2 linked regions of the Rattus norvegicus genome follow. The protein of the gene in region 2 binds, or shares a complex with, the protein of the main gene of each other region. Links are inferred from orthologs where the notes say so. Each region holds a gene or a part of one and is shown on either strand. Other genes may lie near its edges.

Region 1 (6,333 bases), on a different chromosome or scaffold from region 2:
CACCTCTCACTATCTCAGGGCCCGCCCCTCTTTCAAGCCCAGTCTGCCAGTGGACTCAAGCTCTGCCCACTTCCCTAGGTGGGCAGATCAATTTTGGACTCCTCCCTCTCCAGCTCCACCCTGCTACCATTTGCCCAGTTTAAAATTAGAAATTGTCAGGTTGGGGATATAGCTCAGTGGTAGAGCGCTTGCTTAGCAAGCGCAAGGCCCTGGGTTCGGTTCCCAGCTCCGGAAAAAAGAAAAAAAAAATTAGAAATCGTCACCACATTAAAGATGCACTCCTTTAATCCCAGCACTCGGGAGGCAGAGGCAGGCAGACTTCTGAATTCTGGACCAGTCCAGTCTACAGCGTGAATTCCAGACCAGCTAGTACCACAAATGAAATTCTATCTCAAAGTACTAATAATAACGAAAATAATCAAGCATATATACGTGAGTGGCCTTCTTGTCCCGGGCCCATGCTGACAGTGTCTGTCACCTAGAAACAGGGCAATCCTGTCCAGCTGGCGTCATTCATCCCAGTTCAACCTGGCCTCTGAGCTTGGCATCTTCCTCAAATCCCATGTCTTCAGTCTCTACCGAGAGTCGGTGACACGTTTAGAAGAGAGAACAGGGATGCCCAGACAGGCATAGGGTGGATTGAAGTAGAGAGAGAACCCAGGTGTTGGTGACACTGGTCCCCCACAGCCTCAGGTTTAACTCTACCTTTTCCCAGGAGGTGAGTACCACAGTTCTGTCCGGTTTTCTGCCTCTAAGTCTTCTCAGTGAGCTCATTTCTCCCCACCTCCCACTTCTCCACGGCTCCCCGCATCCTCCTACCCAAGTCGGGCCTGGCTTTCTTCTGGGGTGAGTTGGTCAAATTCCTTGGCCACGTCTCGTCCCAGGAACGCCTCATGGTCGTACTGGAAATTCCCGTGGGCGTCATCGTGGGGGGCCTCACTCAGGGGGGTTCCATGATGCACCCTATCCTGGCCATGAGGTCCTGCATCAGGAGATGGCTTCCCCAGGGCCCAGTGCCTCAGCAGTAAGAGAAGCAACATAAGCGTCCATCGCCACATCATCGGTTCCTGGGGAGAAGCGAGGAACATGGGTCAGGGGTAAGATTTGGGGGAAAAAATCTAAACCAGAGATAATGCGAGAGAACTTTGAAGGGGCGTGGGGGGAGGCTGCCTGAGGCAGTGCAGATATCCGCGCAGGCTGCAAACAGTTTGGGGCTCAAGAAAAGTCGGCAAAAAGAATCGAGAATCTGAAGGTAAAACCATCTCTGGGGATGAAATCCGAGCCTCAGAGGACTCTCAGAGCAGAAAGGGGGTATTTCAGTTAGAGACGTGGCACACATCCCACACAAAGTTGAGGGCATGGTGGTGGCCAAAAGCATCATGCAGGCTCCTCTATGTGGCTGGGGAGTCTGGACCGTGAGCCTCACGCTGAAGCCCCCTCCATAGCTAGATCTCCACCTTTCCACCCACCCCACCCTCGCCCCACCACATCTCTGTTACCTGGCCTGGGTTCGCTCCCCACGCTGAGCTCTGCTTTCACGCAAAGATGCCCAACTTGGCCTGCTTCCAGTTAAGCTCTGCCACAGGCAGTCCAGAGGCCACCGCCCTCTGACCAATGACTGCGCAGAAGAGCCTCAGGGGCGGAGCCAATGAGCGAGGAGGAGAAGAAGAGTGCCCCGGACCCCCTTGCCACGTCCACAAGCCTGAGCTCCAGCGGAGAAGGCCGATGTTGAACTACAACTCCCAGCAGACATACGGGCTGACTGCACGACCACTCCAGAGTCTCTGGCCCCAGAGAATTAAGAGAATGTGGGTTTTGTTTTGTTTTGTTTTTTTCTTTTTCTGTTGTTTTGTTTTGTTTTGTTTTGTTTTTCTTTTCTTTTTTTCGGAGCTGGGGACCGAACCCAGGGCCTTGCGCTTCTACCACTGAGCTAAATCCCCAACCCCTTGTTTTGTTTTTTTTAACTCTTTCCGTTTCTCAGATCCGTTTCAGAAAAGAGGAGATCGGGTTTGGTGGCTCATGCTACCAACACTTAGGAGGCAGAAGCAGGTGGATCTCTATGAGTTTGCAGCCAGCCAGGACTACATAGGAAGACCCTGTCTTGAGGGAGAGGGAGGGAAGGGGGAGGGGAGAGGGGAGAGGGACGGAGAGGGAGAGGAGAAATGATGCCTGGTATGGTTTAGGTATCACATACATTTATGACTAAAAATACACAACTCGGTCTATAAAATGGCCAGGCTGTACCACAGCAATCAGGAGGAGTCTGTAAGATCTTTCTCAAACTTGTTCAATTTATTCCGGCTGCCTGAAACCTGAGAATAACGATGCACACACAGATTTGGGCCCAAATTTATGTGGAGATGGAAATAGCCATTGACATTAAGAGGGGAAACTGAAGCAGGCCACAAAAGAAGGGATCCACGAGGAGGACATCCAGCCCAGGGCTCCCTCGGGAGGCTCAGAGACAGTTCAGGAGGTCACACAGCCCCACAGGCTGCAATGGGTATGGGGCCTGGGTTGGCATCAGGAAGTGGCCGGAAAGGCATTTACACCTTGAGGTTCAGCCTCCGGGGGCAAGTTCCCACCAGGCAATAGGTCGCCAGAGTCATCACCACTGAGAGAAAGCCATGGGGCTAAGAGAGAGAGGAATAGAGGTCAACAAATGTATCTAAGGTCTCACCCACCCAACACACCTGTGAGGGCCACACTATGGTGTCTGTCCCCATCTCTTTTCCCAGGGTGGTCAGGGGCTGTCTCTGTCTCTCCCTCCCCTCTTTCTCTCCTCTACTTCCCACCCCACCCCTCCCCAACCCTGCACGCACCTGGCAGCCCACTTCGCATCCTGTTCCATAGCAGCACACCCCCTGCGATGGCCACTACCACCAGCAATAAACCAAGAATGATTCCGACCACAGGCACAGAAGATCTGGCGGGCGAATCTGCAGCCAGAAAGTCTCATGAAGACAGGGAAGAAAGGAGTCGGTGACTCCTCTCAGAGAGCCCCAGAAGCATATATCTGAGGGTGGGTGTATGCAGAGAAAAGGCCCTGGGCCTCATGTGTTTCCACCCTGAATGTAAGAACCAGCTACACAGTGGTGGCACACCTCTTAATCCCAGGATTTGGGAGGCCGAGGCACACAGATGTGTGGGTTAGAGGCCAGGCTTGTCTACATCGCAAGTTCTAGGACAGCCAAAACTATACGGAGAAACCCTGTCTCAAAAACAAAAAGAAAGAAAAAGAGAAAAAAAAAAAAAAAAAGAACCTGCCGGGTTGGGGATTTAGCTCAGTGGTAGAGCGCTTGCCTAGGAAGCGCAAGGCCCTGGGTTCAGTCCCCAGCTCCGGAAAAAAAAGAACCTGCCACTGTGCTGGAGAGATGGCTAGAGCTGTTAATGTTAAGAGCACTTGCTGCTCTTGCAGAGGATCAGTTTGGTTCCAACCTGAGCCCAACCCTCTATAAATCTAGGCTGGCGAGAAGGCTCAATGAGTTAAGGCATTTGCCCTAAAGCCTAGTGAGTTTGATCCCCAAGTTGTCCTCTGTCTTCTCAAGTATCCCACGACACAGGCTCACCTCTGCCTTCCCTTCTCACATAAAGAACGTAAGGAAATTAAACATATATGCATACTCTTAGATATAAATCTGAAGAAGAAGAAGAGGAGGAGGAGAAGAAGCAGAGGAGGAGGAGGAGGAGGAAGAGGAGGAGGAGGAAGAGGGCCATATTGAGAGAACACAGCCACACTGTGACGGAGCTCAATGAGGACCTAATTGAGGAGGAGCAGTCACAGGACAAATGGCAAAGTTGGTGCTTCACCAAAGCCATGGCAAGAACTGTCAGGAGCAAAAGTGAATGGTCAAACACCATGAAGACCAGTAGTAGCAAGACTTGTGGTCAGACTCAGGGGGACTGGCCACAGGGTTAATGGAGAATCAGAAGCTAGGAGCAGAAACAAAGAGGACACTGAGGCCAGAGGGACAGCCTCACCTAGGTCCACAGTGAGAGGCTGGGCCAGCCCCTCATGCTCCACTTGACATTGGTAATGGTGTTCATCTCCACGTTTGACCTCTAGCAATGACCATGCATGGAAAGATCCATCACCATTGGGACCAGTGCTGCAATTCCCAGAGCCTGAGGCTAGCCCATTGCGCAGGAATCGAAACTTGAGCTCCGGCGGGTAGAAGGAGAAAGCAGCACAGGTCAGTACTGAGGAGCCAGAGTTGCCAGGACGGGCCTTCAGGCGCATAGATGGCGGCTCTGTGGGGACACAGGGAATGGGGTGGGCCAGCAGTTAGGGTAGGCTATGACCTCACCCACTGATCCCACCCCTGCCAAGCCTTGGTGTGAAACTTGTCATGAACAGACCCCACTTCCCTATTATCAGCACTGTGCTGACCCAGAGGGCTTCGCAGAGTGACAGACACCCCATCCTGCTGACCCCGCTACCACGCCCCCTGATTTTGGCGTATGTGTGGTATATTTGTGGATCAAGGACAGAGGTCAATGGCAGGCACCTTCCTCTCTTGCTCTTCAAATTTTTTCCCCTTTCTTTTTCACTTTGTGTGTCTGAGTGATTTTTGGCCTGTGTGTCTGTGCACCACATGCAGGCAGTGCCCATGGAGGCCAGATGAAGACATCAGATCCCCTGGAACTGGAGTTATGGGTGGTGGTGAACCACCATATGGGAGCTAGGAATCAAATCCAGGTCTTCTGCAAGAACAGCAAGTGCTCCTAACCACTGAGTCACCTCTCCCACCCTCCACTTATTTATTGAGATGGAGTCTCTCACTGAACCTGGGGTTCACCCTTTCAGCCACACTAAGCGGCTGGTGAGGTCCCATCTCTGCCAGACCCATCCCTGCAGCTATAGACATGCAGCAGTACACCCAGCCTTTGCAAGGGGACTGAGGATCAGAACCCAGGTCTTCCTGCACAGCAAACACTGTGCTCAGTGTGTATCTTGCCAGGCACATGTATTTGTTTGTTTCCCAACTGAATTTCACTCTTAGTCCGGCCAAGCCTTGAACCCGTTATATAGATACACATGACTTTGACTTCCTTATCTTCCTGCCTTTACTTGCTAAGAGCTAGCTAAGAGACAGCAGCCATGTGCCCCCGGATACTGGTTTATGTAGTAAACCTCTCTAGTGCATGACCTGTTCTTGGCCCTCGGAACACATTAGTGTATACACAGAGCGAAGAGACATGGCTGTCCTAGCTGCTGTGATGGTGCAGGCCCATACAAATGATCCCAGCACCTGAATCTCTGTGAATACCAGGCCGACCTGTTCTACGTATCAATTCCAGGCAAGCCAAGGCTACATAGTGACATAGTGAGACCAAGAAAAGAAAGACACAAATAAATAAATACATTGTGGCTGGGGATGTGGCTTAGTTTGCAGAGTGCTTGTCTGGACCTGGGTGAAATCCTGGGTTCAATCCCAAGCACACTGACATTGACTGTGCACCCTGGAGAACCCCTGTGATCTCAGCACTGCAGACTGGAGGTCAGAGGATGAAGAGTTCAAGGTTACCTTTGGTGAAATAGGAAGTTTGGGGCCAGCCTGGGCTACACAAGATCCTGAATCAACAGCAATAAACCCCTAAACAAAATGGAATCCATGGGGATCTGAGACCCCAGCAAGGCTGTGTGCACGGCAGAGGCGTTCCCTCCATGCAGGGTGGGTCTCACAATCTTGGTTCTGCTCTGATCCTCAGCAGAAAATAAGCTGACAATTTCTTAGGAAGAGGAAGCTAGGCAGCTTCCCTGAAAGAGGGGCCTCACTGGCATCTAAGAAAGACCTGCGGCACCGGCTCTCAACCACAGAGGACCGGACCTCAGTCAGCAGTTCTGTGTCCTGCCTTGTGCTTGTTATTGTTTTCCAGTGAGGATGACTTCCTGTGGGTAGTGCTGAGAGACACCCATGGTTCTCCTGTTTTCCAGTTCTGACCCTGAGGGTGCTAAGAGTCAGCCCAGCCTTGGCTTCTGCTTAACAGAAAAAAAAAGAAAAAAAAAAAAAAAAAGGAAGCACCTTAGCCCCAGAAACTGTAAGCTGGCTGCCAGGGCAGCAGGATTACAGACTCACCCATTAAACCACAGAGGGAGTTGAAAGGTAGCTTGGGAAACTTAGCTAGGCCCCATCTCAAAATAAAAAGTCAAAAGAGGGCTCAGAAGAGCCTGAGGAGCAGCTTAGCAGCATTTTCTGCTCTTTCTACAGAACTGAGTTCATTCCCAGTACCGACACTGGGTGACACTCAACCACCAGTAACTCCAGCTGCAAATGACCTGATGCCTTCTGGCATCTGTGGTCTCATGCACAATATGTGCATGTACACAAC
Region 2 (6,523 bases):
CTTACCTAGCATGCACACGATTTCAACTCCTCCCCACCCAAACCAATTGTTTTGGCACAGGGCTGTGGGGAACTTTGAAAGGGGCCTCTCTCTCTCTCTCTCTCTCTCTCTCTCTCTCTCTCTCTCTCTGTGTGTGTGTGTGTGTGTGTGTGTGTAAAAATAACCTTTCCAATTTTTTCAACTGGATTTCTTTTGGTAGCTTGATGCCGTGAAAGAGAAAGCACTGGTCGCAGCTGTCCGTCAGAGGATGAAGTGCTCCAGTATGCAGAGATTTGGAGAGAGAGCCTTCAAAGCCTGGTATATGAATTTTCTTTAATATCACAGTCCACATCTTTCTGATGATAGCTGTCCAATCCAAAAGGCTGTGCCTTTATAAGGCACTTTATGAAAAGACGATAGAGGTGAAATCGGATTAATAGTAGTAAGTTGACATTTTTGTCTCATGCTTTATTTTAAATTATCAAAGAATTTAGAAGACTTTTGTTTTTTTCCTAAAAGAAGACAGGTATTTAAAATCTCATTTGCTTATAAAGACTGGGACTCATTTTCAAAGCTTAAGGAATGTAGTCAAGGTGATTAATTTACTTAAGTTGTGTTCTCCCAGGCTAAAAGTGACTGTTTTATGTCCTGATAATTGAATTTAGCCATCAAAGAAGCTGGAGTTATTACTTTGAATTTTATTACAACTCCAACTGTGTTTTTTTTTTTTAACTTTTTTTTTTTTTTCTCTGAGCTAGGGACTGAACCCAGGGCCTTGCGCTTGCTGGGCAAGTGCTCTACCACTGAGCTAAATCCCCAACCCCCCAACTGTGTTCTTAATCTCATGTTTCTGTTTGATACTCTCTTTGCTTCTATATGCTGTAGCTGAGCCTGGGGTGTATTCTTTAATGTAGAAGGCAAGAAAGACATGCTTGCCTTTCTAGCGCCTCACCTGTTAGTCGTTAATGAATCAACGTAATAGAAAAGAACGAGGAGATGACGTCGTCGTGTGGGTTCTCTGGAAACCGTCAGCACAATTATCCTCACGAAGTCATTCCTACTATCCGAATTATCACAGCCAACCAAATCAACACACGAGGCAACTTCAGTATCAAACAATACACTGTTGTGCAGGCCGTGACTGGCTCTTGCAAAGGAGTCTCTTTATTGGAGTTAAGGAACTGAAAATGATCTTGGAATGAGAGTCTTGGCTTGTGCCATAGAACTTAGAGGCTGTCTGCCGGAACAGTTTCTTGGCGGGAGGATGCATGGTTAGAACTCTCTAAGCTCTCTGGAAGTTAAGAATTTTGTTTCCCCCATCAGGAACTTTAGAATTCAGAGAACTATGTCTTGTGAGGAAAGATGACGAATCTTCAGTTCCAGATGAGAAAATGCTTTCATGCCATTATGTAACTTAATCTCCCAGATCCTTTGATTCTGCCCGTTGTAACACTCTAAAAGCTAAGCAGGTTGCTGGTGGTCACAATGCTAAGACCGGGTCAAGCCAAAAAACGGAAGTCAGATAAGGCCTTAACACTTGGCTGATGCCCCTTTGGGGAAAATCTCTGTTTTTCATTTAATGAGGCCTTACCTTTCCATGGACCGTCCCCATTCTTTTAGTAGATAGATCCACTAAAGAAAACCATAACTATCATGCCAGGCTAGCATTGCAAGAACTAGTGGATTTTTATAATTTGATCACTTAAGTCGGGTTTTAACTTCAAAACCAGTTTATAACAAATTTCGAACTTGTTATAAGTGGCGCCTTTTTTACTGCTTTCCTCCAAATACACTATGATAATAATTCCTTGATGGGGTTTCTTTTTTCCTTTTTCAGGGCAGTAGCTCGTATGAGCCAGCGATTCCCCAATGCTGAGTTCGCAGAAATCACCAAATTGGCAACAGACCTCACCAAAATCAACAAGGAGTGCTGTCACGGCGACCTGTTGGAATGCGCGGATGACAGGGTAAAGAGGGGGATTGCAGGCTCAGTCAGTGAATGCAAGTGTTTGGCTTCACCCGAGATCACTGATGGCTGCTGGTGTGACCGTTAATCTGCCAAGCTCTCCTTGGTTGGTGCCACTTTCCAGAAAAAAACAAAAACAAAAACAAAAACAAAACAGAAAACAGAAACAACAGCAAAAGGTTTTCTGAATTATTAAATGATCCAAAACTCCTTTCTTCAGTCACACTTTGAGAAAGGTGTTAATGAACGGGAACTAGTCACAGATGTAGTTTTTTTTTCTTTTTTTTAAAGATGTTTAAGATTTTGGGAAGAGAAACGGGGCTAGGGATCTCACAGAGTGGAGAGGCTCTTAAAAATGTGTTTATCCTTCGGTAGTCTTTCCTCTAATTAACTGTGTACGTTAAGCACATAAAAAAATTCACTGTGATCTCATTTTCTCCCACCTCGTCCTGCTAGCTCCCTCCCCTCCCCTCTCCAAAGACTAAAAATATAACCAAACATCAGAATGCTTTTCTGCCATAGAACCTTCTGGAGAACTCAAGACAGATGTTTTGTGTGTTATGAGCAAGGCCTGTAATTGTGCTCATTACTGGTTGTTTAATTATACTTCATATTTTAATGAGTTATTTAGTTTCAAAATGACTACCCTTAACTTGGGAGGAATTTAAAAAAAAAAAAAAGCACTAACTTTTATAGAAAAAGTGACCTGATTTATCACAGTCTCTCTGACATAAACTTAATAAATAATTAAAACAAATTCATTTAACTAAATACATACCTTGTTTCTGAACAGTCATTCTCAAATCCCATTGGGATGTTCTGGTCATAGTACTGAAGCACTTCGTGGCTGAGAATGTGTTTCTAGAAGCCACTTTGGTTGCGAATGGCTCAGAGCAGGATGGATAGGCTATCCCCGCCCAACAGTGGTGCGGGGATAAAATGTAGCCAAGAGAATTTCTCTGAAACCTTTGCCTTCCGTTCTCACAGGCGGAACTTGCCAAGTACATGTGTGAGAACCAGGCCACTATCTCCAGCAAACTGCAGGCTTGCTGTGATAAGCCAGTGCTGCAGAAATCCCAGTGTCTCGCTGAGATAGAACATGACAACATTCCTGCCGATCTGCCCTCAATAGCTGCTGACTTTGTTGAGGATAAGGAAGTGTGTAAGAACTATGCTGAGGCCAAGGATGTCTTCCTGGGCACGTGAGTAGATGCCTTTCTCTTCGTGGCTTTGGCGAAGCTGTGCGGTGTAGGAGGCTACACCAGGCTCCTTGTCCAGGTGTTAGCAGGTGTTAGCCTTTAAAGTTTCCTTGAAAAGCATTTTAAGGAACTCAAAGCATTTTTTTTTAATGAAATCATAACGCATTCAGCATAAACTCAATGTTCTTTACTTCATAGGACTATTTCTGGAAATATTCTATGAGTATATAAATTGTATGTGCCACTTAATCATTCTTATGGGCATTTTTCTTGAAATTCTCATGTATAGGAATATATTACCTATGTATCTACTTACCTATCGAGCCATATCTATTCATTTCTGGGATGACAGCAAGGATATCTATCTATCCCTCTGTATGTATATATGCCCACATGACACTTAGTTCTTTCATACTTGGTTGAGAAGACCGGAATGTCACAGTGTGGCAAGGCACGATACAACGAATAACAAATGACAATATGTTTTCAGGAAGTGCAATCCTTATTTCCATCCTACTAACGGAGAGGTTGATGCACTCTGATAGTAAGTTGCCCAGGCAGAATACTAAAATAGCTTGCAGTGGTGGAGCTGAACCTGGGAAGGGTTCTCTCTGGGTCCCACGTCTTTGCTGCTTAGTCCTTGCTGCGAGCCAACACAGGGTGGCTGGGATGAGAATCTCTATTGAGATTGGTCAGGGACTCTATGACACGCCCCCTTATTCAGCTCAGCCTATGTTCGCCTCAATTAGGTTTTTGTATGAATATTCAAGAAGGCACCCCGATTACTCCGTGTCCCTGCTGCTGAGACTTGCTAAGAAATATGAAGCCACACTGGAGAAGTGCTGTGCTGAAGGCGATCCTCCTGCCTGCTACGGCACAGTGGTAGGTTTCCGCGAGCCAGGAACACTCACGGTGCTGGTGGGGCTTTCTGTCAGGAGAAAAGAAGAGATGAATTCATGATCATAGATACGTAGGTCAATCCTGATGTTTTCTTGAGATAGAGGCAAGTTCGAGCTCTTAAAGTTTCCTTCAACATTGCAGGATAAACTCTTTGGGTAAAATATAAGGAAACTAGAATGACCACTCTAGGGAAGGAAGGTTCAAAGAGAGGGAGGGATCTTTGCTTACATAAAACCTTTGTTGTAGCCTTCCCTTTTTCAGACGCCTGAGAATAAAATTAGAGAATAAGTTCAATTGCCAATTAAAAGTGATTGATTTAACTTAGGCTTGAAAAGACCATTAACCTGTCCCACCATACTGTCAACTATTAGAATTAATATCTCAAAGGAATTCGAGAACTCTACTTCTTTAAATGACATTTTGGAGAAGGTTTTGGAGTAGTATTATGAGAAGTTGTGTTTGCAGGTTTGTTGTGGGTGGGGATGTCGGGACTCCTGTCAGCACATATTGGTTTCTGAATCATCTGGGACCAGAAGGGAGTCAGACTTTACAAAGAAACTGCCCGAATACCAGACACCACTCTGTGATTTAGGCTGGGGTGGATGCTCATATCTCAGAGACCTCAAGATCCAACTGGAGAGATTGCTATAAGTGAAGGTCACCATCTAGGGGACTTCTGTGCACTAGGTGCTGTTTTGATTTCATCCACTTAGTGGGTTAAGAGACCAGTGCTGGTGCTGAGGACAGTTAGTGCTGTAGGGTTGTAGACAGGATCAGTCTGAAACTTGGATGTGGGAAGAAAAATCACACAACAAGAAAATACAGCAGGTGGCCTGCTTCAAACGCAGCCATTAAATCCCAGAGCCTGAGGATTCTCATTTGATTTGTGCCAAAAGACCTTGCAAATAAAAGGGACAATTTAAATGCAAGATGGGAAATGTGGCAAAAAGGTCTCCTGGCTTGTCTTTGTATAGAGGGACAGCAGTAGTACAAAGTGACCTACTTTGGGCTCTCAGGAAGGGGCCTGTAAACACAATTCTTTTATCTTGCAGCTTGCAGAATTTCAGCCTCTTGTAGAAGAACCTAAGAACTTGGTCAAAACTAACTGTGAGCTTTACGAGAAGCTTGGAGAGTATGGATTCCAAAACGCGTGAGTAGTTTTTTTCCTTGATCAACTTGTAATTATTTAAAACATTATATAGGCCATCCAGCATATGGATTTCACAATGAAAACACACTATATATAATCCATATCTATCAAAAAATTCTGGGAACTTCGTTGGAGGGATGAGGAGGACTGTATCCCTGTGTAATATAAACACTGGTCTCTTGGGAGTAGACGTTTTGAGGACTCAGCAAATCTTGATACATTGGAAGTGGAAGCGTCCTTCAAGGGTTAGGTGGAGTTTATGAGCAAACAGAACAATACTTAGTAGAAAAGGGAGAAGCATGCTTAGGCAGCAGAAACTCAAGAACTGATAGAAATGCTGAACACAAAAACATAACAAAAGATTTAGATAATATGGAAATATTACACGAATAAAGAGTTCATTTGGGAAAACATTGGAATTTGGGGGTTACATCTAAACCTATGTAGTTGTGTCCTTGTCTTCCTATGGAATTTCACTCCTAGAGATAGAGACTGAGTGGCCTTCCACAGTGGTATCCCAATTCCATAGGGCTTTATCTATGGAAGTAAAGTGAGCATGCTGGAAGAGACCCGTGATTCCTTGTTCATTTCATATACAGTATTAGCATTCTTTTAACTCTGGAGTTTGGAGAAGGCACTTCTATACCTGAATACGCTGACCTTTATTGCTGATGGTACACTGTTAAATGCAAGATGTTATCAATTGCTAGATAGCGTGTCAGGCAGAAATTATTTTCTTTCATTTAATTGGTGCATGCTTTCTATTAAATCATCTCTCTTTTCACCACTTCCTTTGAGCTTGTCACAATGCTGGTATGTGTACGTTTGTGACAGAGTCTATTTAAAGCAGCATGGAGTACATTAATACCATCGGGCTAGAGAAACAATACTTCCTTGTGATTCTAGTACAGATTTAAGACTAAGATCTTACGCTCCAAGTAGTTTTTGCATCTACTTGGTTTCTTAGGACAAGGTCTTCCTCCAGTACTATGCTATCACTCCAGAAGTAAAGATACTTTGATTAGTGGGGGAAAAAAATCTTAATTGGTTTGGGCGAATCTTCTTGAAATATATTACATCAGGCCAGTTTTCTGTCTGGATTAAACCATGTAAGTTATTGTAAGTAATAACTTTTTGTTACACAGCATTCTGGTTCGATACACCCAGAAAGCACCTCAGGTGTCGACCCCAACTCTCGTGGAGGCAGCAAGAAACCTGGGAAGAGTGGGCACCAAGTGTTGTACCCTTCCTGAAGCTCAGAGACTGCCCTGTGTGGAAGACTATGTGAGTCTTTTAAACAACATCAAAGTTAACAGGGGACAGGCTGTT

The links.
Region 1: the proteins of Alb (region 2) and Fcgrt are in contact, whole or in part, in a crystal structure (PDB 6QIO), measured with the Homo sapiens proteins. The link is inferred for Rattus norvegicus from reciprocal best matches to the Homo sapiens genes ALB and FCGRT. Residues at the interface, in NP_000468.1 of Homo sapiens: Arg105, Glu106, Thr107, Tyr108, Gly109, Glu110, Asp113, Asn133, Asn135, Gln441, Ser443, Pro445, Thr446, Glu449, Leu484, Leu487, His488, Thr491, Pro492, Val493, Tyr521, Val522, Pro523, Lys524, Thr530, Phe531, Thr532, Phe533, His534, Asp536; in NP_001129491.1 of Homo sapiens: Arg65, Glu67, Glu69, Gly72, Ala73, Val75, Trp76, Gln79, Val80, Ser81, Trp82, Trp84, Glu85, Lys86, Thr89, Arg92, Asn172, Lys173, Leu175, Thr176, Leu179, Phe180, His184, Glu188, Arg192, Gly195, Asn196, Trp199, Lys200, Glu201.

What each region holds. Positions count from the first base shown.
Region 1 is NC_086019.1:104,708,631-104,714,963, forward strand, and holds the end of Fcgrt (IgG receptor FcRn large subunit p51 precursor), read right to left. Parts: intron 4,252-6,333; coding exon 3,982-4,251; intron 2,940-3,981; coding exon 2,823-2,939; intron 2,634-2,822; coding exon 2,524-2,633; 3' UTR 2,277-2,523; downstream 1-2,276. Other genes in the region: Rcn3 (reticulocalbin-3 precursor), read right to left, coding at 820-1,061. UniProt on the Homo sapiens protein: Cell surface receptor that transfers passive humoral immunity from the mother to the newborn. Binds to the Fc region of monomeric immunoglobulin gamma and mediates its selective uptake from milk.
Region 2 is NC_086032.1:17,895,040-17,901,562, reverse strand, and holds part of Alb (albumin precursor), read left to right. Parts: intron 1-199; coding exon 200-297; intron 298-1,816; coding exon 1,817-1,946; intron 1,947-2,932; coding exon 2,933-3,147; intron 3,148-3,893; coding exon 3,894-4,026; intron 4,027-5,096; coding exon 5,097-5,194; intron 5,195-6,339; coding exon 6,340-6,478; intron 6,479-6,523. UniProt on the Homo sapiens protein: Binds water, Ca(2+), Na(+), K(+), fatty acids, hormones, bilirubin and drugs. Its main function is the regulation of the colloidal osmotic pressure of blood. Major zinc transporter in plasma, typically binds about 80% of all plasma zinc.